7 linked regions of the Rattus norvegicus genome follow. The protein of the gene in region 7 interacts with the protein of the main gene of each other region in a pairwise test. Links are inferred from orthologs where the notes say so. Each region holds a gene or a part of one and is shown on either strand. Other genes may lie near its edges. The genes, in order: Smarcd1, Fxr2, Fam107a, Hdac4, Plekhf2, Atf4 and Ldoc1.

Region 1 (3,500 bases), on a different chromosome or scaffold from region 7:
AGCCGCCATGGCTCGTGTCTATAACCCCAGCACTGTTGAACATGACGTAGAAGAATCATCATGCATTTGAGGCCAGCCTACTCTACAAGGGACAGATGCACTCAAAATGCTAAAAACAAAAACAAAATGTAATAGGCAGAATCTAAATGCATGTATGTAACCTGCCTCCACTTATCACTAAACGTTACCGACAGCCTGACAAGTTCTGGGTATCAACATATTTTTTAGTTAAAAACGAAAAGCAAAAGGCAGCTGGGAGCTATGATGGACGGTGGGACAGAGACCCCGACCTTGTTGTCTAGAGTAGCGATCTCCTGCTGGCTGGCAGTGGACAGCAGGAAAGAGTTCATCTGGGTCTTCAAAGTGTCATCCACTTCCACATCAATGTCGTAGCACGCTGTCTTTTTCTGGTCATTTGGGTCAACACTGGGGAGGAAAGTAGCAGAGTTCAGTAAATGGCTTTTTCTGAGACCTACGTACCAACGTCAGAAGATGGTCCAGGGATGAGAGGAAAAGGAAGCGACTGCAAAAGGTCAAAGTGCACAGCAGAGATGCTCAACGTCTTCCTTCGGAGAGCTGTATGGAGTTGTATCTCCAGATGCCTTACTGCCTTACTTCAAACAGATTTAACCTACGGTCCAGCCTGCCTCTATGAGTAACAACTTGTAACTCAATAAATTTGGTTTTCAGTACATTCCCATATATTCATTCTCTGTGTGTGTGTGTGTGTGTGTGTGTGTGTGTTTCCCAGGGCTGATGTCAGGTTGTCAGGCTAGGCAGCTAGTGCCTTTAACCAGCTGAACCATCTTGTTGGGCTGAGCTTGGTTTTAAGAAAGTCATAAAGTTCAAATAGCACCAAAGGCATTTTGTGAAAACTTTTAAAGACAGGAGTCCGTGCAATGGACTTTAATCCCAGCACACAGGAGGCAGACGCAGGTGGACCTCTATGAGTTTGAGGGGAGCCTGGTCCACAGAGTGAGTTTCAGGACAGCCAGGATTACACAGACTCTTGTCGGAAAAAAAAAAACAGCAACAAAAAGAACAGGACTCCAGTTTCTGTGGACGCGATGTACAAGCTATAGAGGGACTACAGGTGAGGGGCTCAGGGACTAGGGAAACTCAGTCTTTCCGGAGTAACTGGAACAAAGAGGGCAAAGAGCAGGCGTCTGACAGGCGCAGGGCTCTTTATCTTCCAAATTATGAGAAAACAAAGCAAGAGTGGGAGTCTGACTGGAAGCCCCTCCTTTCATAAAAAGATGACTGCTGACTCCCACCACAGTGACAATCTGCATCTCCCGCGGGAAGTGGAGCCCTGCTGTGACAGTGCTGGCTGATGTCCAGCCACTAACACTCTAGCTTTAGCCAGAGAAGAGTGTGCAACCACCCCAAACACCAGTAACCTTCAGGCATAAACTCTGCAAAGGTGAGCAGGTAACAGGCAAGCAGAGGTTGGTGCCATTATCGGTTTTCACAGTAATGAGCTTACGTAATCTAAACAGAAATAGAGCAAGTGCATCTAAGGAGACCTCTGGACATCTGATAACGGGACGAGCAGGCTCCCGAGGGCAGGGTCCAGCACACTCACCTGATGACGTGATTAATGATGATGGGTTCTGGTGGCATGAGCAGGGCATGCAGCCGCTGAGGGATCTCTGAGAACTTCATCCGCTGAGATTCAAAGATCTGAGAGAGAGAGAGAGAGAGAGAGAGAGAGAGAGAGAGAGAGAGAGAGAGAGAGAGAGGCATTACAAATCGGCACTTTCAGTGCAATTAGACTCTCGAAATAGAATGTGCCTTACATACCTGCTGGAGGTACTTGTCACAGATAACAAACTCTCGCTCGTGAGGGTCCTGGAGCTTATGTGTTTTAATATATTGCCACAGTGCCTGGATGATCACTGGACGTGTCTGGGTGTGGATGCCCAAGAGGCGAGCCAGGCGAGGGTCTAATTTAAACTGGGGGGGCTGCAGAGAACCAAGAGTGTAGATGAAGCTAATGAGATGGATCCATGTGTCTTTCGGGGTATTTAGTACAGCAACGGACTCAATCTAACGGACATTAGTAAATCTGGACGGCAGGGTTACAGAGGACGAAGACACATGCTGCTGTCGCTCTAGTGGAAGAGCATTCCTGAGTAGTCAGACACTCATACACTGCGGCCAGGAAAGCTGGACTCTCCACACCTCCCAAGAGTACCTGGTAATCCAGCATCAGCAGGACAGTGCACCGTACATTCACATCTCCTGGTCGCTTCACCTGGAAGCCGTCTGTCTCCTGGGTAGTGGCGGTCCTGTGCCACTACAGAGAGGAAGGTGTCAGGGGGTACTCTTCCAGAGGAAGAGCTGGGGTGGGAGGGAAGAGCGTCTGTAATAACTGAACATTCAACTTCCATTACTGTGGCTACTGGGGAAGAGCAATAGCTCCAGGCATCTCTAAAAAACATAGATGGCTTTGGAATTATTGTCTACAAAAGCAGAACTTTCCAACCCTGTTTGAGATGACTGCATTTAAAATGGCTTGAATTTCCAGTAATAAATTTACCCACAAAATGAATATTATACATGGAACAGGAACCTAAGACAGTGTCAGTTTACTGAGGGCCAGCTACCCATGTCTATGACATGTTACATCCATGTCTATGACATGTTACATTCGCTATGTAACAGAGCCAGTGCTTGAGCTGACTCTAGTCCAGTCTTAGCTATTCTACTGCTATCAAGTCAAGCGCTTTACAGATTTCTACTGACTCTGACTTACTTCCCATGTCTCTTAGTGGTTGGAGTTAAGGGGCTGCAGCTACAGTGGTAAAGAAAGGGCAGGTTAAGTTCACACGTACACTAGACCGCTCTGGGTTCACGTCCCCAAAACACTGCTGCTCACAGCTAACACAGTCATCGAAACACTGCACACCCAGGAGCTGTTTAGTATTTCTGGTTATCTGAGACATAAATCTAAAGGATCAGGGACCAAAAGGAAGATACAGATCGATAACCTAGGCTCTAGTATCACTAGTACTCCATCAGTCAACCCATTAACTACAGCAGCGACGATCAGGAAAATAAAGCATGTCAGCAACTACAGCCCACCAACACTTGTAAGCAAGATGCAGAGACAGCCGAGAGTGTAAGAGGACTCTACCAGAATTTTCTCTGGGGGGCAGTAGTCAGGACAGAAACAAGTGGTCAAGTCAGATAGCAAGAGCTCCTGGGTCCCAACTCAGTACGGCTAGCGCCGCCTGGAGGTCAATGTGCAAACTGCAACGGCGGAACCCCATACCTGGGCTAATCTGTTCAAGCTTGGTCCCCAAACCCATCATCCCCCAAAAAAGTTAAGGCCTGGAAGGCAGAACTACTCACTTCTACCAGATGGTTGTCTGGCCCATAGAGGTCTTTGTCCAGTTCGATCACCAAGGACTTAAAAAAGGAAGAGAACTTTCTCTTTTGCTTGGTGGCATCATATTTGGACAAGGCTGACTAGAAAAGAGATGGGGAGGGGGAGG
Region 2 (3,500 bases), on a different chromosome or scaffold from region 7:
AAGGGAGTGGGTGACCTTGGGACAAGATCCCACCCCAGCTAAGTTTAGGTTCAGGCATGGTGGTACACGCCTTTAATCCCAGGAGATCTGAGTTCAAGATCAATCTACAGAGCAAGTTCCTGGGCTGGAGAGATGGCTCAGTGGTTAAGAGCACTGACTACTCTTCCAGAGGTCCTGAATTCAAATCCCTGCAACCACATGGTGGCTCACAACCATCTGTAATGGGATCAGATGCCCTCTACTGGTGTGTCTGAAGACAGCTACAGTGTACTTATATATATAATAAATAAATCTTAAAAAAAAAAAAAAAAAAAAGAAGTTAGAAAACCAAAAGCTGGTGATGGTGATGATGTAACAGAACAAGGGGGCCATGTTTCAGCCCCAGCAAGCAGCAGAACTTTGGCAACTTCAGTCATATGTATCTGGCTTTGTAGTCAAGAGGAAACTACTGGGAAATTGATGCTGGTTAGCTAGAACTAAGAAATTAGAGGTGACTAAGAAGAGACCAGCACTAGGCCGGAGAGATGGCTCAATGGTTAAGAGCATTAGTGGGCTGGGGATTTAGCTCAGTGGTAGAGCGCTTACCTTGGAAGCGCAAGGCCCTGGGTTCGGTCCCCAGCTCCAAAAAAAAAAAAAAAAAAAAAAGAGCATTAGCTATTCTTCCAGAGGTCCTGAGTTCAATTCCCAGCAGCCACATGGTGGCTCACAACCATCTGTAATGGGATCTGATGCCCTCTTCTGGCGTGTCTGAAGACAGCTACAGTGTACTTGAAAGAAAGAGAAAGAAAGAAGCAAGCAAGCTACCTAGCTACAGTGTACTTTGAATGAATGAGTGAGTGAGTGAGTGAATGAATGGATAGATAGAGATAGATAGATAGATAGATAGATAGATAGATAGATAGATAGGAAGGAGACCAGCATCACTGAGGTGAAATCTTCTGGGGAGTGTTTTCTGAGAGCACAAAGAAGCTATATTCTAGAGATAGCCAAGGTTGTACCTCAAAGCTGTACTTGGTAATGGATGGGGCGTTAGAGAGCCAGAGCCATGGGCTATCTGCTGAGGAAAGCTGCTAACAGGGAATGGAACCAGCCCAGGAGAAAGAAGTTTGTTGCAGTCAACAAAGATGAAAAGGAGTTGGAGATCTGAAGACCACATTGAGATCAGACATGGAGATGCAGGGTTTGGAGTTTGCCTGGCTCATTTCCAGTCTTTCTTTGGGGATTAAGGTTAAGTGAGTGGATAAATCTCAGAAGAGACCTTGAACTTTGGACTTTTAACACTGTTGAGACTGCTATAGACTATGGGGACTTTGGAAGTTGGACTAAATGTATTTTTTTTTTCGGAGGTGGGGACTGAACTCAGGGCCTTGCGCTTGCTAGGCAAGCGCTCTACCACTGAGCTAAATCCCCAACCCCCTAAATGTATCTTTTATTATGCTATGTGTAGGTATGACCCCCAAAGACTCATGTGTTTGAACAAGCCTATGGGGCCAGGGAGTGGAAATGTGACAGTTTGTATATGCTCTGGCAGGGAGTGGCCACCCTATTAGGAGTGTAGCCTTGGGGTTGGGGATTTAGCGTGGTAGAGCACTTGCTTAGCAAGCACAAGGCCCTGGGTTTGGTCCCCAGCTCTAGGGAAAAAAAAAAATTTTTTAGAAGTGTAGTCTTGGGGCTGGGGATTTAGCTCAGTGGTAGAGCGCTTACCTAGGAAGCGCAAGGCCCTGGGTTCGGTCCCCAGCTCCGAAAAAAAGAACCAAAAAAAAAAAGAAGTGTAGTCTTGCTTGGAGTGGGGTATGTCGTGGGCTTCTTCCTAGCTGCCTGAAAGCCAGTCTTCCCTCCACTAGCAGCCTTCAGATGAAGATGAACTCTCAGCTCCCCCTGCACCATGTCTGCCTGGACACTGCCATGTTCCAGCCTTGATGATAATGGACTGAACCTCTAAACCTGGAAGCCAGCCCCAGTTAAATTTTGTCCTTGTATGAGTTGTTTTGGTCATGGTGTCTGTTCTCAGCAGTAAAACACTAAGAATTCTAGGCCAGGAGACCAGTGAGACCCTGTTACAAAGCAACATTGCTGGGCAGTGGTAGTACATGCCATTAATCTCAGCACTCCAGGGTCAGAGACATGTGGATTTCTTTTGAGTTCTAGGACAGTCAGGGCTATACAGAGAATCTCTCAAAAACAAAAACCTACAACAGAAACAAAATCAAACTTTTTAAAACCATACCAAAACCATGATAGAATACTGTCCTCTGAAAATTATGAGATAAAATAGGATTAATGGCCTAGCAGCTTTTGTGTATGTGTTTCAAAAACAAAAGGAAAAGAAAAAGGAAAGAACATTTTATTATTATTATTATGAGAAACAGCAGCCAAAACTTACCTCTAGGTGCTTAGTAGCTTCTTCATTGCGGGACATGAGCAGCAATTTGGTACGAAGGCTTCGGAAATGCATGTCACCCAGCAAAGATGCCCTCTTCACAGGGGCTTCTGTGGTTGACTGAGGAATGATGAACAGGATGTATAAAAGCAAAATACATGGCTCAGAGACGGAACCCTAAGACAAGTGGCTTAGAGGTTAAGAGAACTGACTGCTTTGGCAGAGGAGCTAGGTGCAATTCTAAGCACCTACATGGCAGTTCACTTGTCTGTAACTTCAATTCCAAGAGATCGGACACCCTCACGCAGACACACATCTAGGCAAACCAGCAACACACATAAAATAAAAAAAAAAAAAAAAAAAAAGCAAAATACACACCAGGGAAGCATTAGGGACTTGGCATCAGAATGTCAGAGTCCCTGAAAAAGGGCAGGTGTCAAGAAATGAAGTTGGATTTTTGTTTGTTTTTCAAGACAGGGTTTTCCCTGTGTAGCCGTGGCTGTCCTGGAACTCTCTGTAGACCAGGCTGGCCTTGAACTCACAGAGATCCGCCTGCCTCTGCCTGCTTCCTGAGTGTTGGGATTAAAGGCGTACACCATCACCACCTGGCAAGAAATGAAGTTTAAAATAAGGTGGTAGCATGGGCTGAAGGGATGGCTCAGTGGTTAAGAGCACTGACTGCTCTTCCAGAGGTCCTGAGTTCAACCTATGACATCTGGTGACCTCTTCTGACCTACAGAAAATGATGTATATATTCTTAAAAGGAAAAATAGAAAAAAGGGGAAAAAAAGGTGGTCATGCCTACCTCAAAACTAGGGAAGGTAAAGCAGGAAAAGTGTCACAAACTCAAGGGCAGCTTTAGTGAGTAACAGGCCAGCCAAGAGTAAACAAGAAGAGTAAACTTGTCTCAAAGGAAACATAAGGGGTTGGGGATTTAGCTCAGTGGTAGAGCGCTTGCCTAGCAAGCACAAGGCCTTGGGTTCGGTCCCCAGCTCCGAAAAAAAAGAAAAGGGAAAAAAGAAGAAGAAGAAGAAAAAAAAAAGGAAACATAAAAGAAATGAGGTAGGCTACGTGAAAACCATTGTTAGTCACATAGAAACTGAATAGCTAAATACTGACA
Region 3 (4,271 bases), on a different chromosome or scaffold from region 7:
CTGCAGCGTCCTGTCCTCAGACGGTGCTTCCCTACCCTGGAGCAGTGTCCCGCAGCTTCCCACAGTCTAACACCCACCTGACGGGTCAAACTTCCCGAATCCTGCCTCCCAGAGCAGCCTGAGCCCTGTGACAGAGCAGAAGGACAGAAGTAGGCCCCCTACTCAATCCTACAGAGAATCATGGTGACTGAGGAGGTTCTGTTGGGCACAGAGCTCTGGGACCAGAAGGTTTTGGCTAAATGAGTGGTCTGTATGTCTCTAAGAGGGTCGAAGGGTCACAGGGATAAGAATACAGAAGAGAGACCGGGGCCTCTCATTCTTCACAGGTTCTGTTGGTAACCCAAAAGGTCCCAGGGTTCCTTCCTAAAGACTGAGTCTGGTTCTGGGTGTGCACAGACTGGTGGGAACAGTAGCTTCGATAGCAATCCCTGGTCTTTCCTGGGCAGTGAGGAGAGAGCCGGAGGAGAATGATACTCTTGCTACAGGGTGAAGTTTACACTGAGAACAGCTGCAGGAACCTGGTTACTGCACAAGATCCTTTCATCCCCCTCCCCTTTTTAGGAGGGTTTCACATATCCCCAGTTGGCCTCAAACTTGTTACATAGCCAAGGGTGACCTTGAACTCTTGATTGGCCTGCTTCCACCTCCCAAGGGCTAACACTATAGGCATAGCCACCATGTCCCATTTATGGGGTATCATCGATCCATCTCAGGGCTTTGTGCATGCTGGGTAAGTTCTTGACCAACTGGGCTGAATCCTTATGGTCTTCTTGTCACTTTCTGACTGCATTCCCTCTATCTTCAATGTTCTTATTGTGTTTCTGGTCTATCAGTTACAACACATGACACTGGGTCCACAAAGTGTTCAGGGATTAAAGCAAAAGAAACAATGTAACACATGATCTTAGCTTGTGTGGCCTCAAGCAAACAGCTCCTGCGCTCTCAGCCTCTGACCAGTGGAGATCATGGCCACCTCCCGTCCCCTCAGGTCATTAGAATGTGAGACCTTGTGGTGTGCACACTGTAGTTTGTAGACTACCTGGCTGAGTAGGCAGACTGTGAACCTCTTTCTTGTCCTGCATGTTTTGGAGTGAGCACGGGACTTGGTCTGACTCTCATGATTATCTTGAAGGCAACTCATTTTGTAGTTGAAGAAATCAGGGCTTATCAAGCTAAGGTACACGCCAAGTACTTAGCAAAGCCAGGATTGTTGGACTCCAAACCTAGTACTCTTTCTACCATAGAACTGTCTCCTAGGAATGGCATGTTTTTGACTCAACAGAACCAATTTACAGCCCTTTGCTCTCTCTCTCTCTGTATACTCAATAAACCCCTGTGAAGAGGAAGGCTGAGAACATGATGGCCAGAGAACCAGACAGTGAGAAACGCAAGCACTGCCCTGCTGCTTGAAGCAGCTTTTTCCTGTCAGGCCTGTGGCCAGGTTTCAACCCCCAGTTCCTCTAAACCTTTCTGGTTCAGCATCAGCAGGGGGGCTTTGAGAAGCACTGGCAAGAGAAGGAGAAACATTCAGAAAAATGACAAGCTGGCTGCCACATGTCCTGCTTGCTCTCTCCTCCCTGTGGGTGGTATGCATTTGTAGCTCAATGGCTGGCCAGTAACCTAAGAACGCATTTGGCAACAGCTCTAGGTCTCCCTGCAGACTCAGGTCAATCTTCTTCGTCTTGGAGCCACCTATCCATTTAGGCAAGAAGGCTCCAGACTACTTCAGGTCTTGGTCCCCTGGATCCGTTTCACCAGAGAAAAGAAAGGTTGGATTTGAAGGGTGAGGCCTATAGGGTCCATAGCAAGGCTGGGGATTGTGCCCTGCTGTTGAGCAGGAAGCAGCGTGAGTGGATGTCCCATACTGCTATCCTTGTGATCTGATGACAGCTGTTGCACCTGGCAGCTGGCTCAGGGAAAAATCACAGCAGGGGTTGCCAGACTTCACAGTGAGGAAGCCATCAGGACCCAAGCACCCAGAAACCCATGTGTGTGGGAGGACTGTTTCAAATTTAGAGCCCATCCCACTAATAGCAGCTTCCTAGTGACAGGCAATCCCCTGATCCCTGGATCCCTGATTTCTCTAGTCCCAGACTGGCCGTGTACCACGTGATGAAGCCAAGTCCATCGGCAAGGCGGGAATCACCCATAGCCTGCATTCTCAGTACAGGCTGAGTAATGAGCTATTCGTCTAGTTTCCGACTCAAAACTCTCAATAAACTGAGAAGGTGGGCAACCCCTTCTTAGGAACAGACCTCAGAGACGTCGTCTGATTTCTCCAGATCACATAGCCAGTGTGTGAGGTAGCCAGAATCCGAGCTGAGCTTTGGTACCCAAATCCAAGTTCTGTGCTTTTCTCATTGCATATAGAACCTGGACTATCTGCCGATTGTGTCTATCTGTCCTCTATTAAGTGAACCCTCCTTGCTGACCCTACATACCCCTACTGTGTGATGATGGATTTAAGAGAGGCTGTAGCAGATGTTAAATTCCTCTCAGTGTTTAGAAGTAAAAGGTCAACCAGACTGCCGGGTTGTAACTGAGAGCCTACTTAACCCTCTATCTCCCACCCCCACTTCACATCCCTGCCTCTTCTCACCTCAGTAAGGCAGGGTCCCAGTACCTACATTTTGAAGGGCTTAGTTGCTGGGACAGCTTGCTCCGATGCTCTTAGGTCATCTCCTTCCCACCACCTTCTCCTAGAACACACTCAGCCTAACAGATGTGAAGCAGAATAGATCAGAGTCTTACTTCTCTACAGGTCCGGGGCTGTGAGCTCCTTGGCAGTGTCTGGGCTGCGAGGTCCTCTGCAGGTTTCAGACTTAGGGAGTGCTAAGCCAGTCCCAGATGGCTGAGGCAGCCACCCCCAAAGGGCGGGCCTTAAACCCCCAAGATGGGAGGCAGTTTTGCATTCCCATTTATTCTGATAGCAATGAAAAAGAACTGTTGCTATAGAAACCGTTATTTTACTTGGTGAGTGGCCGTGTCCGAGACTCAGAACACCATGTCCAAGCCACCCTGATTGAGAGGCACCAATAAATACCCGTGTTGTCAGATTGATGAGGAATATGACTCACACCAAGCTTTGTTCTGAACAAGGCGGCTCCTGGCTTCTGAGGAGGAATTTCCCTTGTTTGTATGGGAGGGAATTCCAGCACTTCCCCAAAGGAGGGGAGGGGAACCACGCTTCCTGCTGCAGTGAGGGATTCTTTAGAACTTGGCTCTTGGATACTAGCAGGGAGAGAACTATACCCAGACAGTTCTTGGCAGCCCTGCAGGCTTAGGTGTAAGAAACATTGTGAAGTGAAGTGGTCATCTACAAATGTGTTGGGCACATGGACAGCCAGAGCATTTGGGAGGCAGAAGGAGGTAGATCTCTGTGTTCAAGGCCAGCATGGTCTACAGAGAGAGAGAGTTCCAGGATAGCCAGGACTACACAGAGAAACCCTATCTCAAACAAACAAACAAACAAACAAACAAACAAACTTCACACAATTAATTTCCACAGAAGAACCAGCAGGATGTAGTCCAGGAAAAGGGCAGCGGATAGATTTGTACCTAGCCCACTCTGATCCTAGTCCCTTCTGTACTTTGGCTTTCCTGTGTGTGTTGGCTGCGCGTGACCTCAATGAGATGGTGTTCATTAAAGCAGCCTTCAGAGAACTGTCATGTGCTAAAGGCAGAGCCCCAATGTGCATGCCTGTGCCTGGCCACAATGAGAGTGTGCGCAAAGAGAAGCTGTGGGCTTGGGCAGAACCCCAAAGCCAATCTAGGTGCTTGTAGATCAAAGGCCTTCTCTGCACCTCTGAACTAGCTACTGCTCGAGCCTTGGGCCATTCTGTCGTTTGGCATTATTCTCTGTCCCCCAACTGAGGAAACCAGCCTCTGCCAGTGAGACTAGGCCTGTACCCCAGTTTACTTTCTCATGGAACTTTGGTCGGTCAAGAGCGATGAGGTTCAGGTCACACACATCACAGGTAGGCAGACATATTCCACACGCAGTTTGAGTTCATTTTGGCCCTAGGATCTGTTCATGTAGTCAATATCTAATATGTATGTGTATATTTCCTGGCATGTTCTAAGTGGGCGTATGATGGGAAAGCAACAGAGAGAGACAGTACCCCTGTTCTCAGGGGATCCACATTCAGTGTGTGTGTGTGTGTGTGTGTGTGTGTGTGTGTGTGTGTGTGTGTGTGTGTGTGTGTGGTGTGCATGTGTGTGTAGTGTGTGTGTGTGACAGTAGATAAAAAGACATACAAGAAAATGTCAAC
Region 4 (4,251 bases), on a different chromosome or scaffold from region 7:
ACCTCGAAGGTCAGTGTCACACTTAATGCCCAGAGGTGGATGAACAGCAGGACACAAGATGGTCACTGGAGATCAAAACAAAGCCATTCCCAAAAATCTCCTTGGGACCCCTCCCCAAGGCTGGGTTTCAACCAATGGGACATGAGCTCAACTCTGGATTCAGCCTGCTCAGTCACCCCAGGGCCCAGAGACATCAAAAACCCTGGTCTTGGGCCTGAGCCCCACCCCCAATCTCCCTGTGCAGCAGGTGTCTCTCATTTCTGCATCTCCCTGGTTCCCCACGTCAGGTATTAATGTATTACTTATGGTAGCTTCAGAGTTCTGAAAAACCAGCCGTTTTCAATAGAAAATGGCATGGACGAGGCTCGACAGGAGTGATGAAATTTTCTTCTGCTCTGGCAATTAGGACGGCACAAAGTCTCCTTTCCTTTGGTGCCACCCCCAACATCAAAGGATTGGAATTCAAAGCCATTCATGCTGCATTGAAACCTCACAATGAGGCTGGAAAATGGAAGTCGATTACTGGGCAAAAATATGCAGTAGTTAAAAGGAAAGGGTTATAACGAAATTAAGCTGCAGCAGCCCCACGATGTGTGGAAACTTCCAGCACCAGAGCTCTTCTGGTAAACATCAAGAGGGGCATCATCCTAACACAGCTTCGAAACCAAAGTCAAGCTAGGTGCCAGGAGCCCCGTGAAGAGTGCCATGTTCTCTTGCCACCTCGCACAGCAGCAGCCCCTGACTTCTGCAAAGGTGCCACCTGGGGGCTTTATATGCTGCCCAGCTCCCTGACGCTGCTAACCACAGAATGTTCTTGCTAGGGCTGCTTTGGTCACATCTGTCCTTGGTCCCTAGGCTTTCCAGGCCTCTCTGCAGTCCACAGTCATTCTCTCCCCCTCAGGGCTCTCAGATACCCGGTAAGCAGCCGGCAGACCCCTAAAGGGGGCAGTGTTACCTCGGCCTTCTAGCAAACCCAGCCTCTTCTGGGTGATTACTGCTCTTCAGGAAGGCATTTGATCTTTAAAAGAAAAGCCAGAACACAGAAAGCCATAGAAGTCTTACAGTGTGTCGGGTGTGTGTTTTTAAAGCATGAAAATACTTCCCTCCCACACAAACGGGGAGTTCTTCTGGGGAAAGATGCCACAGATCCCGAGGAGTGGCAGATCTGGGAAAGCGAATGGGTCTTAAAAATAGACAATTGAACCTAGACTAGAGCTGCAGAAGCTACCTGGGGAAAAATGAGAATTTTTAACTAAATCTCGCATATTTTTTTGATATCCAAAACTCCATTCTGATGAAACTTCTAACTGGGTGGCATTTTGCATTTCCAATTATAATGGAGTAATTGTGTTGCCATAGAGACTGCAAAATTCTGCAATAACTTTTGCTGCCTTGTAACTGCTATAGTGTATATTTGTGTAGAAGCAGCTGAGTTTTCTTAATTCAACCTCCTTGCCTCTCACAAGCGTTCTACCACCACCACCACCACCACCACCACCACCACCACCACCACCACCACCACCACCACCACCACCACCACCTTCTTTCTGGATGGATTTTGAAACCACCACACTAGCTTTCATCAAGCCGGTCCTGAAATAATGCACGGAATTATCAGAAGCAATTAAAACTCCTGGCAACCTCGATCATATCACGGAGGAAAAACCGAAACCAGGTCAAGGTGCAAGCCGCCAGCATCCCCCTAGCCCCAAAGTGCGACAGGGCCATGGCTGTTTACACGTTAATACTCCGCAGGCCTTAAATGCTTAGGTGGTTTGTGGGAACAGGCAGAAACGCCTGAGCAGAGAAAAGCAGGGAGGCAAAGTGACTACACAGGCCTTTCCTTCCTCCCCGAGCAGGCAGAGTGGCTCTCGGAAAGCAATTAGGTAGGTCTCTACAGTAATGCAATTAGGATTTAGTTAAGAAAGTCATTAGTTCTAAAATAACTTAAGTTTAATTTCTGCGACGCTTTATTTGAAAATCGTGTCACAGCAGGTCAATTTACAGCATGCAATAACCAAAACACTGCTATCAGCGGCTGCAAGTTATTAACAAATTCTCCGTGTGCATTAAAGGAGAACACGGGTTCCACACCCGGCCTTTCCGACCGACTCCGGCGGTGTGGGCTACAGCCGTGCCTTCGGAACGCTCGCTCAGGGTGGACACCGGGTCGTCTCCCGGGCTAGCGCAGCTTCTCGCCAGCCCAACGACCGTCCGGGCCCAGCCGCGGCCCCCGCCCCGCCGCCCGCCGCCGCCGAGGGGCGTTTTCTGCAAACTCACAGGCTGACAAAGTTACATAAACGCCCCGGCCCCCGCCCCCGCGCGCCCACCTGCCCGCCCGCCGGCGCAGGCCGCTCTCCCGCCCGCCAGCCCGCGGCGCAGGGCCCCGAGGCCTCGGCGGGGCCGGGCGTCCACCTGCCGCCAGCAACCGGGCGGCGCGGACAATGACGGCCGGTGGCTTACCGCGGCGGCGGCGGGCCGCGTCTAGCCCTGCTCGGGCGCTCCGAGCCGCATCTCCTCAGCCTGCGCCGCCGCCGGCGGGCGGGCGGGCTCGGGCGGCGACGGCGACAGCAGTCGCGTTGAGCGGGCCGGGCGTGAGGCGGCGCGGCGACGGCGGCGGCGCGAGCAGGCGCGCGGGCTCGGGCTCGGGCGGCGGCGGGGATGGTGCTCCGCGGCAGCGGCCCCACAACCTCCCCTCCTCATTCACAAAAAATTGACCCACGTTGAACCATGATGCTGCTCCCCCTCGAGCGCAGAGCCGCGCGGGGATAGGCCGCGCCCTACGCCCGTCAGGCGCTCCAACCCCGCCCCTCCCGCCGTCGGCCCACCAGCCATTGGCTGCAACGGCTTTGCGTCACCTCCCCCCGTGGGCCCCGCCCCCTGCCTGGTTTCTAATGAAGAAAGCGTCAATTACGGCTCGGCCCCGCCTCCAAGAATTCAGTTGCTCTTCCATTGGTCCGAGAGTCCTAAGTCCGCCCTACAATAGCCCAACAGCCACCCCCGCTTCGCGGGCGCTGCAAAGGGGCTCCGCCTTCGATCGGCCTCTCTCAAAAGTTACAAACCCCATTGGCTCCCGGCCTTGTCAATACTAGTGAGCGGGGCGTACCGAGGACTCTCCAGGCGCTAGCTCTGAGAGCTTCGCTGTGGAGAAAGAGCAGGGAGCTGGTGCACGTACTGACTGATGCTGTTGACAGACCTCCTCGGCAGCCCGCGGCGCTGCCCGGGTCAATATAGTGTGCCTGAGTTCATGTCTCATGCTCTAAGGGGGCGCGCAAGAGCGCAGACTGTGACGGGGGCCCGGTCAGGCCTGGCTGCAACCTCCATCTTGGGCAAGGCACAGGTCACGTGGGCTGCGTGCGGGGGACGCCGAGCCCAGAGGGAGTGCGCAGGCGCGGCGGGCCCCGCCCTGCCCCGGGGCAGGCGCGCCGCTTGGGGGTGCGGCTGTGACTATGGGCCCTTGCGTGGCCGTGGGAACTGGGAATTCAGGGACCGTTGCTGTGGCGGAGGTGTAGGCTTTGGGTCGCCGCCACCGCGTCCCGGTTTGCTGAGACCCACCCCTTCTTTGCTGGGGTTCTTCTAGACCTGGGTCAAGCACCTATAAGTGGCGTACCCGGGTGTGGATGGGCATGAAAGATCATGCTTCTGACGCCCCTGGGTCCATTACCTTTCATCAGGAGAGTAGTGCAATTTCTCATCCTGTGTGCATGGTATTTCCAGAATCTCACATCTAGAACGAAGGAGAGAGCATCTGGTCCACCCTACATGGTCTGACTGTCCTAGGATGCTGGCCTGTCTACTAGGCCTTGACTTGTAGGAATTGAATAGAGACCGAATAGTATTTTTTGATCCGTGACTGGGGGATAATTGAAGGTATGTGGATGAAAACAATTCGCAAAATGCAATAGATTCTTTTCATTATCTCAGGGTAATAGTGAACTAGAGAGCTTCGTTCATTGGGAGAAATTCAGACGCTAGGATAGCTCAGCTGCGAAGCCAAGGGATGAATTGTGGAATCAAAAAGAGTAGAAGAAAATGACCGCACTTAGGAGTGCCAGTGCAGCTGCTTATAGAAAAGTACACTACCAAATTTACATACAAAATAATGCAGGATCTGCAGCCTGCTAACATTTAGATGAAACATGAAGTTCAGAAGTACTTGAAAGGATAAAGATGTGCAATAATCAGAGATTTGATGAATACTGAGTAAATACGAAGTAAGTACTGATGAATACGAACCTGAACAAAAGTTAC
Region 5 (2,932 bases), on a different chromosome or scaffold from region 7:
ATAAGAAAAACTGCCTTGCTTTCGGCTTCTTTCTGCACAGCTTAGTCAATACTCCTTCTCCAATAAGCACCCGCCCAGGGATGGTCAAGGGCTGACCGGCTGCCCCGAAACAGCTCTCCACAATACTTATGCGTCTGGTGTTTGCTTCACTGTTCGCCAGGCGATCCACCATCTTTTGCTAATAACCTTTAGGGGAAAAAGAAAAGAAATCAGCACACGCAAAGTATACATTCCTATAAGGGATTAACAAAATGTCATCTACCAAGGCACTGATTTTTCCAAAGGCAAGTAATCTTGTTTTCTTTCCTTCTAAAATAATCACTAACATGCTAAACTGTGCGTAAAACCTGCTGAGTCTTCCCGGGCAGCCCCGGTAGGCCTAGAACACAGTCCTCCTGCCTCTACTTCAAGTGAGATCACAGTGTGGGTCATTTATACCCTGCACAAGTAAAACAACGGGACAATCAAAAACAAGTTAATTCCACAAGATAACCTGGCTCCATGAAACTGAACCTCAGCGGGATTCTGGAGAACAGAATCCAAAGAACACTTAAAACCCACAACTCCAGCTTTCCCAAGAAGCCGCCCATAACTCCGGAGCCTCGGCCCTAATGTCCTCACCTGGATTCCCCCAATGCTCTCCCAACTGCTGCCAGCCTCACCTCCTGAGTCAATGTGTAGGCAGCCATCTCTAAAATGCTTGGTTGTTCCTGCTGTCACTTGAAGTGATTCCCTGGATCTTTAAAATCTGTAACCGTTAGCATCATGTGTAAGGTTGGCTTTTGGTTTTAACTGTTTTGTTTTTGAGATTGGCTCTTATACTATTCAGCCCAAGCTGGTCCTGACTTGCCATGCCCTACCTCAGACTCCTGAGTACCAGAACAATAGGCATTTGTCACCGCATCCAGCTATTACTGGACTTCTCTTCACCTCAACCTAAGTCATTCCTTGCCTAAAACACAGCATTTGAAGCAAACATTACTCTGTGTAAGTGGATTTCACTGTTTTCCTTACAACTTATAACTCCAGCTACCTCTTAATCACCCTTCAAATCGTAGTTAGCATCTCTCCTCTAACACACCTAATGGCAACAAAAAACCATCCTCCATGTTTGTCCCACTTCTTTACCAAAGGACTGAAATCCATGCCCACCACTGGCTGCAGTGAAGCCTAAAAGAGATCATCTAATTGCCATCTTTAACATGATCTTGGGAACGAATTCCAGACTCTAAAGGACTAGGAAGAAAAACCGTCCTATTCTGACAAGAACCTCATTTACACTGTCCATGCATGTCTTAAACACACTCAGTGGGATAGGATACGCTTCCCATCTGTTAAAATGTGATACTGGGGGAAGAAGCAGACCTAGACGACAAAGGATCCTCCTATCTATTTACAATGGAGAGCAGACCCACCTGTCAAGACCATTGTTCTTCCTGCAGACAATGAGAACGTCTAATCTCATCCTCACAGACTCATGTCTGACCTTCCTTCCTTCCTTCCTAGACAGGTTTCACTGTGCAGACCTGGCTGGTGTGGAGCTCGGAGACCTCTGCCTGAAGTTAAAGACATGTGGACTATGCCTGGCAGAATTTACTTTATTTTTTACTCATACTTACGGCTTCTGACATTACTAAAGACCAATATTCAAATCCGATGGGCTACAGAAGGGGAAAAAAACCCCAATAAACTATGAGCCAAAAGGTCTGGTTTACAAAAGAAGCAGCAGCAGCAGCAGCAGCAGCAGCCATCTCAGTCAAGGTACTTTCTGTCTTTAAACACTGACCCTACATAAACAGTGGGCCGGCTGGATTCCCATTTACACCAAGTTCTACCACTAAGTCAGAGCCTGCAAACTACTGCGTCAACCCCACAGCTGACTACTGCGTCTCCGGATCAATACTTTAAAGTGAGCTCCTGTGAACTGAGTGTTAGAGAAAACAGGGGACAAGGCTGTGAACCCTGGGAAGTGACCTCGGAAACAAACAGTGCAGCCTGCACCGAGCTCAGCGGTGGAGCCCTGCTTCAGTCTCCAGCACCTGCTGGAACAAACCACACAGCAAGGCAGAACACTGCCTAGAATGCAGCCAGCCCCACGACTCCCTCAGTCCATGCAGCCAAAAAGACGCTCTAAACGCCTGCCTTCTTTTCACAACCACACAGTCTAATAACCAGCACAGCAGATTACTGAAGAAAGGTCTAAGTAAAGGACTGGGATACTAAAACAAAGAAGTACTCGATACTTGAGCAAACTAAATTTGGTGAATTTGCTTTTCCAATCAACAGGAAGAGTCTAGGCTTCCCTGGCCTGTCACTAAGAGTTCTCCCTGGTAGAAAATCACTGCTAACATGCACTGTAAAGGGATAGGCTGACTGCAGGTAAGAAAACGGAACAAAAGTCTGTATTTATGTTCAAACTTATCAGTGCTATATTTTACTAGCTGAGAGAAAATGAAACTTCAAGATTTGAATCATATTATAGAGAAACAACATTAACTTAAAAATCTCTCCTAGGATCCAGATCTTCCTATTACTATAAAGGTGAGTTATTTCACAACCTCAATCATGAAAGGGGAAAAAACCCACACACGACCAATGCCTACTAGACATATTCCCTTTACTCTTTCATGTAATAATGTTGGGTAAATGAAGATGGGGAGTGGGAGTGCACGCCTTTAATCCCAGCGCCCAGGAGGCAGAGGCAGGTGAATCTCTCTGAGTTTGACGCCAACAAGGTCTACAGAGTGAATTCCAGGACAGCCAGCCTGTCTCGAAAACCAATGATAATAATGATGGTGTTAGGTGAAAATAATTCATTCTGCCAAATCAATAAGTAAATATAAATCAAGTCATAAAATGGCTGTTTAAAAAAAGGCATGTAGAGTAATATACATTTAGTATCCTTCCTAACTCATTCAGGAAGCTGAGTGAG
Region 6 (3,833 bases), on a different chromosome or scaffold from region 7:
AAAGAACATCTGCCAAGTGAAGGTTAGTCATTGTCTCCAAGGGCCTCCACCAGTTTCTGCCCCGCTGTCACTCAGGCCCTTCCTCCCCCCACCATATCCTTGTGCTGGATTAAGCTGCCCCTGGGCCAAATGGAATAATGTTGAGGGTGATGGTAGGCTTTTTACCTCGCCTTGGGAGGATCTGTAGTAACAAACTGAAGGGTTGGAGTGGGGCTTGCCACCTGTCACAGGAAATAGTAGCTGTATCCCTTAAGCCTAAGAGAAACCTAATCCTCTTTGTGTTCAAGGACTGTACCTTATCTAGGTACTTACACAGCAGGTATCTGGCACAAGGCCAGTATGAACAGGTGCAATTCTGGGCTGGCCCTCACTAACCCAGAGCCCCCTCCCTCCAGCTAGTCTTTACCTGTCTCACTACCTGAACAGCTCAACTCATCCAGGTAGCTATCGTATTCAACCCAGACCTTGTGCAGTCTATTAGAAAGAATGACACAGAAAACTTCCATGGCTACTTTCACTACAAAATAATTTATTACAGCAAACACAGCATCACAAGACTATGTACAAGCACAAAGCACCTGACTACCCTATTAAGGAACTCTCTTCTTCCCCCTTGCCTTACGGACCTCTTCTATCAGGTCTTTTAGATACTGAATCTCTTTGGCGAGAGAATCTGCCTTCTCTTTCAGAGCCTCGTTCTTCTTTTCTAGCTCTTTACACTCGCCAGTGAGGGCTTCCTGCTCAGCCCTCTTCTTCTGGCGGTACCTAGTAGCTGCTGTCTTGTTTTGCTCCATCTTTTTCAGCTTCTTATCCAACTTTTCAGTCTTCACTTTAGCTGTCACACTAACTCCAGGTGGGTCATAAGGTTTGGGTCGAGAACCACGAGGAACACCTGGAGAAGGCAGACTGTCTGGTGGGGCCCTGGAGGTGGAAGGGCTGTGTTGGGGAGAGCCCAGGTAGGACTCAGGGCTCATACAGATGCCACTGTCACTATCAGAGGGAGTGTCTTCCTCCTTTACACACTGAGGGGTTAGAGTAATATAAGCAGCAGAGTCAGGCTTCCTATCTCCTTCAGAGATATCAACCTCACTTCCCAGCTCTAAACTAAAGGAATGATCTGGAGTGGAAGACAGAAACCCTGGGGAACAGGGAAGAGGCTGCAAGAATGTAAAGGGGGCAGCCTGGTCGACTTTTATTACACTTTCTGGGAGATGGCCAATTGGGTTCACTGTCTGAGGGGGCTCCTTATTAGTCTCTTGGACTAGAGGGGCAAAAAGATCACATGTGTCATCCAACGTGGCCAAAAGCTCATCTGGCATGGTTTCCAGGTCATCCATTCGAAACAGAGCATCGAAGTCAAACTCTTTCAGGTCCATTTTCTCCAACATCCAATCTGTCCCGGAAAAGGCATCCTCTGGGGAAAAAAATTTCAGGAGAGAACGGTTCATACTAGAGGCAGAAAACCTTTAGAACACCAAACCCACATGAAAAGAGCACACTGGTGCAGGTGTCCTCCCTACTCACCCTTGCCGGTGTCTGAGGCACTGACCAACCCATCCATAGCCAGCCATTCTGAGGAGCCCGCCTTGTCGCTGGAGAACCCATGAGGTTTGAAGTGCTTGGCCACCTCCAGATAGTCATCTAAGAGACCTAGGCTTTCTTCAGCCCCCAAACCCGACTGGTCGAAGGGGGACATTAAGTCCCCCGCCAACACTTCGCTGTTCAGGAAGCTCATCTCGGTCATGTTGTAGGGATTTGCTGGTATCGAGGAATGTGCTTAACTCGAAGGTATCTTTGTCCGTTACAGCAACGCTGCTGCTGGGTTTCGTGAAGAGCCTGCATAAGGATCCAAAAGCAAGTTCAATCATCTTTCTATCTAGGATGCTGGATGACAAAATCCCAAAAGCTTCTAAATGGAGAGCACGTGGGCTCAAGGCCATTGTGTAAGCTTCCCCAGCCGCCAGCTCGGGTTGCACAAGATGGAGGCTTAGCTTTGCTTCACCGGCCACCCGGAGGAAGCAGCTTGTCCTCAAGTCCTAATACGGCCAAGGCCGTCGCGCCCCGCCCCCGTGACTCACACCCCCCCCCCGCCCCACCGCCATCTTGGCCTCGCCACGTTCGCAGAATGACACCGGGAACCCGGGGGGGCGCGAGACGACTAAGTTAAGAGAGGACGAAGAGGAAGTAGCAGGGTTTTAGGCACTACTCCCTCCACGCCGCCTGCCCAACCCTCCCCGTGTGCGCCGGCGTTGCGGGGCCACCCAAACAAGGCCGACGCGTCTGGCCGCTTGTAAAGCCGCGTATGCTGGTCAACGCGCCCAGGCCGCACCCAAACACAGCAAAGCACACGCCCGCGCAGTCGGCCCAATACTCACGCCATGGCTTAAGCCGGTGGGGGTTGCCGCTGCAGAGCCTGGTGCTGCTGCCGCCGCTGCAAAGGCCAACGCTGCCGCAGGCTCTGCTGCCTCTAATACGCCATGGTGGCCGCAAGCCCTGCGGGAGGGGAAGAGGAAAGGAACAGCGTACAGAGAGACATCTACCACAGAGCAAGCAGAAATGGCGGCGACACGCCCTAAACCCGCCTTTTATAGAATCGGTGAGGGACGCAGTACACCCCGTATCCTCCCACCGTGGTCACGTGATCCCGCCGCCGCTCCACCTAACCCTATCCCATTGACGCTCTGGCCCGTCCAAACCCTTCTCCGCTGTGCTCGGGGAGTAACTGGGGCGTTACAGAGTATCCTGAAGGCCCCATGAAGGAAGAAAAGTGCACTACTTTATAGGTTTGCGACCAACTGAAGTCACGTTCCGGAGTGCGGAGGGATCGCTCGTTACGGAACTTCCGGTGTCTTACAGGGCGTGGAGAGACACCTAACCAAAGCTATGACGGTCAAAGCCAAAGCTGCCTGGTTATCACGCGAGACGCCGTAGGAGCGCGCGTCGAGCTGATTGGCCCAGGCGTGACGAGTCATCTAAACCTTAAGTTTCTATTGGCTCTGAACCTGGGCGCCCTAGGAGCACTAATATCGGGAAGAGCCACCAGAGGTTCCGGGTACCAGACTCTTACAGCTACCGACTCATCAGAGGTCACCCCAATGTAGTTGCTCTCTCCGGCATCGCTCCCGGGCAGCTTTGGTCCAGCACGGAGCAAACAGCTTTCCAGGAGTGACACTTGGGCTGAAAGCCCTCTTTCCCTGTATTTGTTGTTCTCAGAACCAAATGGGCAGAGCTTTAGGCATATAGAAAGGTCCTCTGGAGTTACCTGGTCCAATCCTGTCAGTCCAGGGACCGCACTTTGAGACAGGGCGTTCATGTTGGGGCCTTATTGGGAGATACTCCGGTTCCTCCAGCCCTGCATCTTTCCTCTGAATCCTGTACTGGGAAAATATACCTAACCTTAGATCTAACCTACTCTAAAATATGCCCATCACTGCTGGTTTGTATAGGGTCAGTTCCCTTAATATTGTGTTTTATTCAGTTGGATCTCAAGCCCTAGAGTAGTTCTGATTAACTCCCAAGTCTTAACTTCCTGGTATAGCCTTACCAAGAAGTCATCCTGGTGAGTGAGCAGCTGCTTAAGTGGTTGGAAGCCCCAAGTACTGGTCAAGGACAACTCACCATAAAGGATGCTGTTTTGGAAGTGCTGAGAGGCCCTCTTCCCAACTCCAGCCTGCAATCTTTTGAGTTTCCACGTCTTTTTAAGTGACTCATACAAATACCACTCAATTGGCACAGTGCCCGCCCCTTACTGCTCAGTAATTATTTGCAAGCCAAGTACTCCAGTACACACAATCCTAGCACTCGGGCACCATGGTTCAAGGTCATCCTTGATT
Region 7 (3,500 bases):
GGTATCCCAGCCAAAATACTGCTTCATCTCATTAACAAAGGCCCGATAATCACCAAGGATGTAGCTATTGGACTCGATGTAAGGCATCACCCACTCCTCGGCTTCCCCGGACAGGAGGCTGATCAAGAATGCCACTTTCATGGCGTCGTTGCAGAAGTGCTCCTCATTCACAAGCATGTAAGACATGGTCTGCACAACAAACTCGGGGAGCCGGCCGCTCTCGCCACTAAACCGTGAGGGATAGGGCACTGGACAGCTTGGCAGACGTACCTGGCGCAGCAGCCTGGCCCGCTCACACACCAGTATTCGCAGCTGCTTCAGGAGCTGGTTGTTCTGGATGCACAGGGCGCGGTGCCTCACCAGAAGAGCATACAGAAGTATCAGCAGCTGCTCCACCATGGTTAACCGCTTGGAAGGTCTTGGGCTCGGCTCGGATCGGGTCCGCGGAGTTGCACAGAGAGACAGAGCAGGAAGTGCGTGTCCTCAGAGTAGCGCTGACCCTGGGCAATAAATAGAGGGGTCCCAGCAAGTGGCAGAAGTTCCACCCACAAGGTCACTTTAGGAACCAGCGCGCTAGCGCAGTGCGGGGAGGAAGGTGTGGCTGGGAGGGGTGCGGGATGGCGTGGGGGCGTGGCCAGGGTGGGACTGGTGGCCAGAGTGGATGAGGCGGAGGAGAAGGGCGTGACCCAGGGAGCATCGCTGCGGGCTCCCGCCAGTTCTTCCACCTGGAAGAAGGGAGGGGAGGAGCAAAGCTTAAGACAGTGGAGGACAGATGCTCAGCCCTCAGGGCTGGCCTGCTCCAACTGAAACTTTTCTCCAGTAAGCCTGATCTGATGCTTCTTAACACATTTCCTTGCCCATTTAAATCTCACTCGGAGAAATAAAGTTGACTCTGAGGGCCACAGTGCAGGAGGCCATCTGGGTTCTGAGTTTAAAAGTCTTTCATTAAATAAATAAATAATACTCAACAAAGTGACTTCTCTTTGAGAAACAATTTCGATAAGACGATTTGGAAATTATATACAGGGTGTCTACTTGTAAACATCCTATCTTTGATTCTTTTCACGTCCTGTTTATCAGTGCACTTGTTCCTGAGTAGTTAACTAACATGAGCACTTTAAAAATAATTCTGTTCACCTATTTTGAGCGTGACTAGTTGTAGATGACTAAGCGTCTTTCTGGATCCTTGAGTTGATACATATTGGGCTTGCTTTTAAAGCCATGTCTCCGAATTCAATCAGTTCTGGTTCTATCCGCTACCCTGATCCCAGCCTGCTTTGCTCAGTTGGCTACATCTAATCCTTTAGCTGCCAGCCTTCCTCTTTTGCAGCATGTACTCTCTTCAGTAAGTAGCCCAGAACACTTTACAAGGTGAGTATACCCTTTCACTCCCCTGTTCAAGGCCCTCCAGTAGTTATTCCCTCTCTGCCTCCCCCAGTAAAAAGCAAACTCTTGGTCATAACTTACAAGGTCCTGCTTCTCCTTACTGTCTTCACATGGCCTCCTGTTAGGTTCTTCAACTATCTCATCTATATGTGAATTGTCTTCTCTATCAACAATTTATAGCTCCCATCACATTTCAATTATCTATATAGTATCCATCATATTCAATGTCAACATTATCGTCTGCCTCCACTTTCAAATGTAAGACAGTACAGCAGAGGGGCTTGGCTTTGCCAGCTTCTCTGACCTTAGTGCCTGCAAAACATACCTAGCCCAGAGGAGGAGCTTCCCTAATTGTGAGTCCTTGTCTTCTTCTGTGCTATGAATGCTCTCACAAGAAAAGAAGCTCTTTTAAGTGGGATAGGAGCACTGGGGAGAAGAGAGAGTACAGGTGAGAATACGCAAAGAAGCTTACTAGAAACCAATTATTTGTAAGCTAAATAATAAAATATAATGCATAAAATGGAATTATGGATAGATAGTGCTACTCCTTGAAAACATGGGTTATTAAATGAAAATTTCAGTGCCAGGCATGGGATACCTCCTTAACAGTTATTGGTCAGGGAGGACCCAGAGGCCCATAAAACAATACATGTTACTGCAACTGCTCTTGGTTGTGCATCATAACTAGATGGTAAAAGCCATTAGCTGAAGACACCACATAGCTTAGGTACAAGGCATACAGAAAACAACCTCAAAACAATCCCACTGCTGGCTATCTGTCTTTCAACAAAATTAGAACATTTTGGAGGCCAAGACTACCTTTGTCCTGCTTCTGCAAAAACAGGATGAAGTAAAGCAGATAAGACAAACACCAGTAATCTCTCTGGGGAGCCCTTTGATCCTGGAAAGCAGGAAATGGTCTGTTAAAAAATACCAAGAGCTAAGCAGTGATTTTTGTAAAGCAGCATTTCCAAGGTTTGAGTTAGAAAAGACAGGCAGATGAGGATGTCAAACAGAGAGCAGTGGTGAAGCAAATTCAAACTCAGTACCAGTGGACAACATATATAGAATTCAGTGGTTAGTTAACCATCATTTGGTTGACATATGGCTCACACACCTTTGTTAAGATCCATCAGACTTCCTGCTACCATTTACCCTGTTCAAGAGTACGTGTAGATTTCCTCATTCCCTTTCTCCCCATTAACTGGCCTTGACTGTTCCTTTAGATCTGTGTAAAGGTGTCAAAGACAAAGAAAGGTAGTCCCTGTGACTCTTCTCAGGCTCATAAACTTTATTATGGTGGTTTAAATTACAGGCCTAAGGGCTGGTGATGTGTAGTTTCTTGCTATGTCCTCTTTCCTATGCTCCAACTTCTGTCTCAGTATATACCTAGCAGCCAGACTGTCAAATTTCTTTAAATAAACATAAAAAGATATGTCTTGGTCTCTTGGTTACCAGAGAGGTATAAATAGCACACTGGCATTAAGATATGCCTCTCACAGTAAAAAGTAGCTTTGGAGAACATTTTATGAAATTCCATGTACTTTTTTGACACAAGCATGTGCTCATACTTCGTTGGGGATGCAGTGTATGCAGAGTTCAGAGAACAACTTGCAGAAGTTCATGTGTAAGACAAAGATCATGGCCACTCTACAGATCCAAAGCTATGTCACCATCTTACTAAGCATACCCAAGGACTGCTTTATCTAGGAGGTAAATCTGGAAGACTTAAGAACCTCTAGATGACACTGCCCCATCTGGGGTATCCATCCCATATACAGACACCAGACCTAGACAATATTACAGATGCCAAGAAGAAGCATGCTGACGGGAGCCTGATATAGCTGTCTACTGAGAGGCTCAGCCAGAGCCTGACAAATACAGAGATGGTTGCTAGCAGCCAACCATTGAACTGAGAACAGGGTCAGCAATGGAGGAGTTAGAGAAAAGACTGAAGGAGCTGAAGGTGTTTGCAACCCCACAAGAAGAGCAACAATATCAACCAATCAGAAACCCCCAGAGCTCCCAGAAACTAAACCACCTTCCCAAGAGTACACAGGGATGGATTTATGGCTCCATCAACATATGTAGTGGATGCCTTGTTGGGTATCAAT

What was found.
Region 1: the proteins of Ldoc1 (region 7) and Smarcd1 interact in binary tests that used the Homo sapiens proteins (3 or more experiments, as listed by UniProt). The two-hybrid records come from large-scale screens. The link is inferred for Rattus norvegicus from reciprocal best matches to the Homo sapiens genes LDOC1 and SMARCD1.
Region 2: the proteins of Ldoc1 (region 7) and Fxr2 interact in binary tests that used the Homo sapiens proteins (3 or more experiments, as listed by UniProt). The two-hybrid records come from large-scale screens. The link is inferred for Rattus norvegicus from reciprocal best matches to the Homo sapiens genes LDOC1 and FXR2.
Region 3: the proteins of Ldoc1 (region 7) and Fam107a interact in a two-hybrid assay, tested with the Homo sapiens proteins (2 studies listed by BioGRID and IntAct). The two-hybrid records come from large-scale screens. The link is inferred for Rattus norvegicus from reciprocal best matches to the Homo sapiens genes LDOC1 and FAM107A.
Region 4: the proteins of Ldoc1 (region 7) and Hdac4 interact in binary tests that used the Homo sapiens proteins (3 or more experiments, as listed by UniProt). The two-hybrid records come from large-scale screens. The link is inferred for Rattus norvegicus from reciprocal best matches to the Homo sapiens genes LDOC1 and HDAC4.
Region 5: the proteins of Ldoc1 (region 7) and Plekhf2 interact in binary tests that used the Homo sapiens proteins (3 or more experiments, as listed by UniProt). The two-hybrid records come from large-scale screens. The link is inferred for Rattus norvegicus from reciprocal best matches to the Homo sapiens genes LDOC1 and PLEKHF2.
Region 6: the proteins of Ldoc1 (region 7) and Atf4 interact in binary tests that used the Homo sapiens proteins (3 or more experiments, as listed by UniProt). The link is inferred for Rattus norvegicus from reciprocal best matches to the Homo sapiens genes LDOC1 and ATF4.

The regions. Positions count from the first base shown.
Region 1 is NC_086025.1:132,711,627-132,715,126, reverse strand, and holds part of Smarcd1 (SWI/SNF-related matrix-associated actin-dependent regulator of chromatin subfamily D member 1), read right to left. Parts: intron 3,475-3,500; coding exon 3,358-3,474; intron 2,300-3,357; coding exon 2,198-2,299; intron 1,966-2,197; coding exon 1,804-1,965; intron 1,684-1,803; coding exon 1,586-1,683; intron 427-1,585; coding exon 291-426; intron 1-290. UniProt on the Homo sapiens protein: Involved in transcriptional activation and repression of select genes by chromatin remodeling (alteration of DNA-nucleosome topology).
Region 2 is NC_086028.1:54,859,669-54,863,168, reverse strand, and holds part of Fxr2 (RNA-binding protein FXR2), read right to left. Parts: intron 2,501-3,500; coding exon 2,384-2,500; intron 1-2,383. UniProt on the Homo sapiens protein: mRNA-binding protein that acts as a regulator of mRNAs translation and/or stability, and which is required for adult hippocampal neurogenesis. Specifically binds to AU-rich elements (AREs) in the 3'-UTR of target mRNAs.
Region 3 is NC_086033.1:19,045,110-19,049,380, reverse strand, and holds the start of Fam107a (actin-associated protein FAM107A), read right to left. Parts: upstream 2,801-4,271; 5' UTR 2,752-2,800; exon of another isoform or gene 2,600-2,751; intron 1-2,599. UniProt on the Homo sapiens protein: Stress-inducible actin-binding protein that plays a role in synaptic and cognitive functions by modulating actin filamentous (F-actin) dynamics. Mediates polymerization of globular actin to F-actin. Also binds to, stabilizes and bundles F-actin.
Region 4 is NC_086027.1:100,194,838-100,199,088, forward strand, and holds the start of Hdac4 (histone deacetylase 4), read right to left. Parts: upstream 2,801-4,251; 5' UTR 2,723-2,800; exon of another isoform or gene 2,464-2,722; intron 1-2,463. UniProt on the Homo sapiens protein: Responsible for the deacetylation of lysine residues on the N-terminal part of the core histones (H2A, H2B, H3 and H4).
Region 5 is NC_086023.1:28,890,792-28,893,723, forward strand, and holds part of Plekhf2 (pleckstrin homology domain-containing family F member 2), read right to left. Parts: intron 187-2,932; 5' UTR 173-186; coding exon 1-172. UniProt on the Homo sapiens protein: May play a role in early endosome fusion upstream of RAB5, hence regulating receptor trafficking and fluid-phase transport. Enhances cellular sensitivity to TNF-induced apoptosis.
Region 6 is NC_086025.1:113,683,407-113,687,239, reverse strand, and holds Atf4 (cyclic AMP-dependent transcription factor ATF-4), read right to left. Parts: upstream 2,560-3,833; 5' UTR 2,376-2,559; intron 1,837-2,375; 5' UTR 1,745-1,836; coding exon 1,525-1,744; intron 1,450-1,524; coding exon of another isoform or gene 1,415-1,449; coding exon 591-1,414; 3' UTR 501-590; downstream 1-500. UniProt on the Homo sapiens protein: Transcription factor that binds the cAMP response element (CRE) (consensus: 5'-GTGACGT[AC][AG]-3') and displays two biological functions, as regulator of metabolic and redox processes under normal cellular conditions, and as master transcription factor during integrated stress response (ISR).
Region 7 is NC_086039.1:145,106,267-145,109,766, reverse strand, and holds part of Ldoc1 (protein LDOC1 precursor), read right to left. Parts: intron 1,813-3,500; exon of another isoform or gene 1,712-1,812; intron 501-1,711; 5' UTR 400-500; coding exon 1-399. UniProt on the Homo sapiens protein: May have an important role in the development and/or progression of some cancers.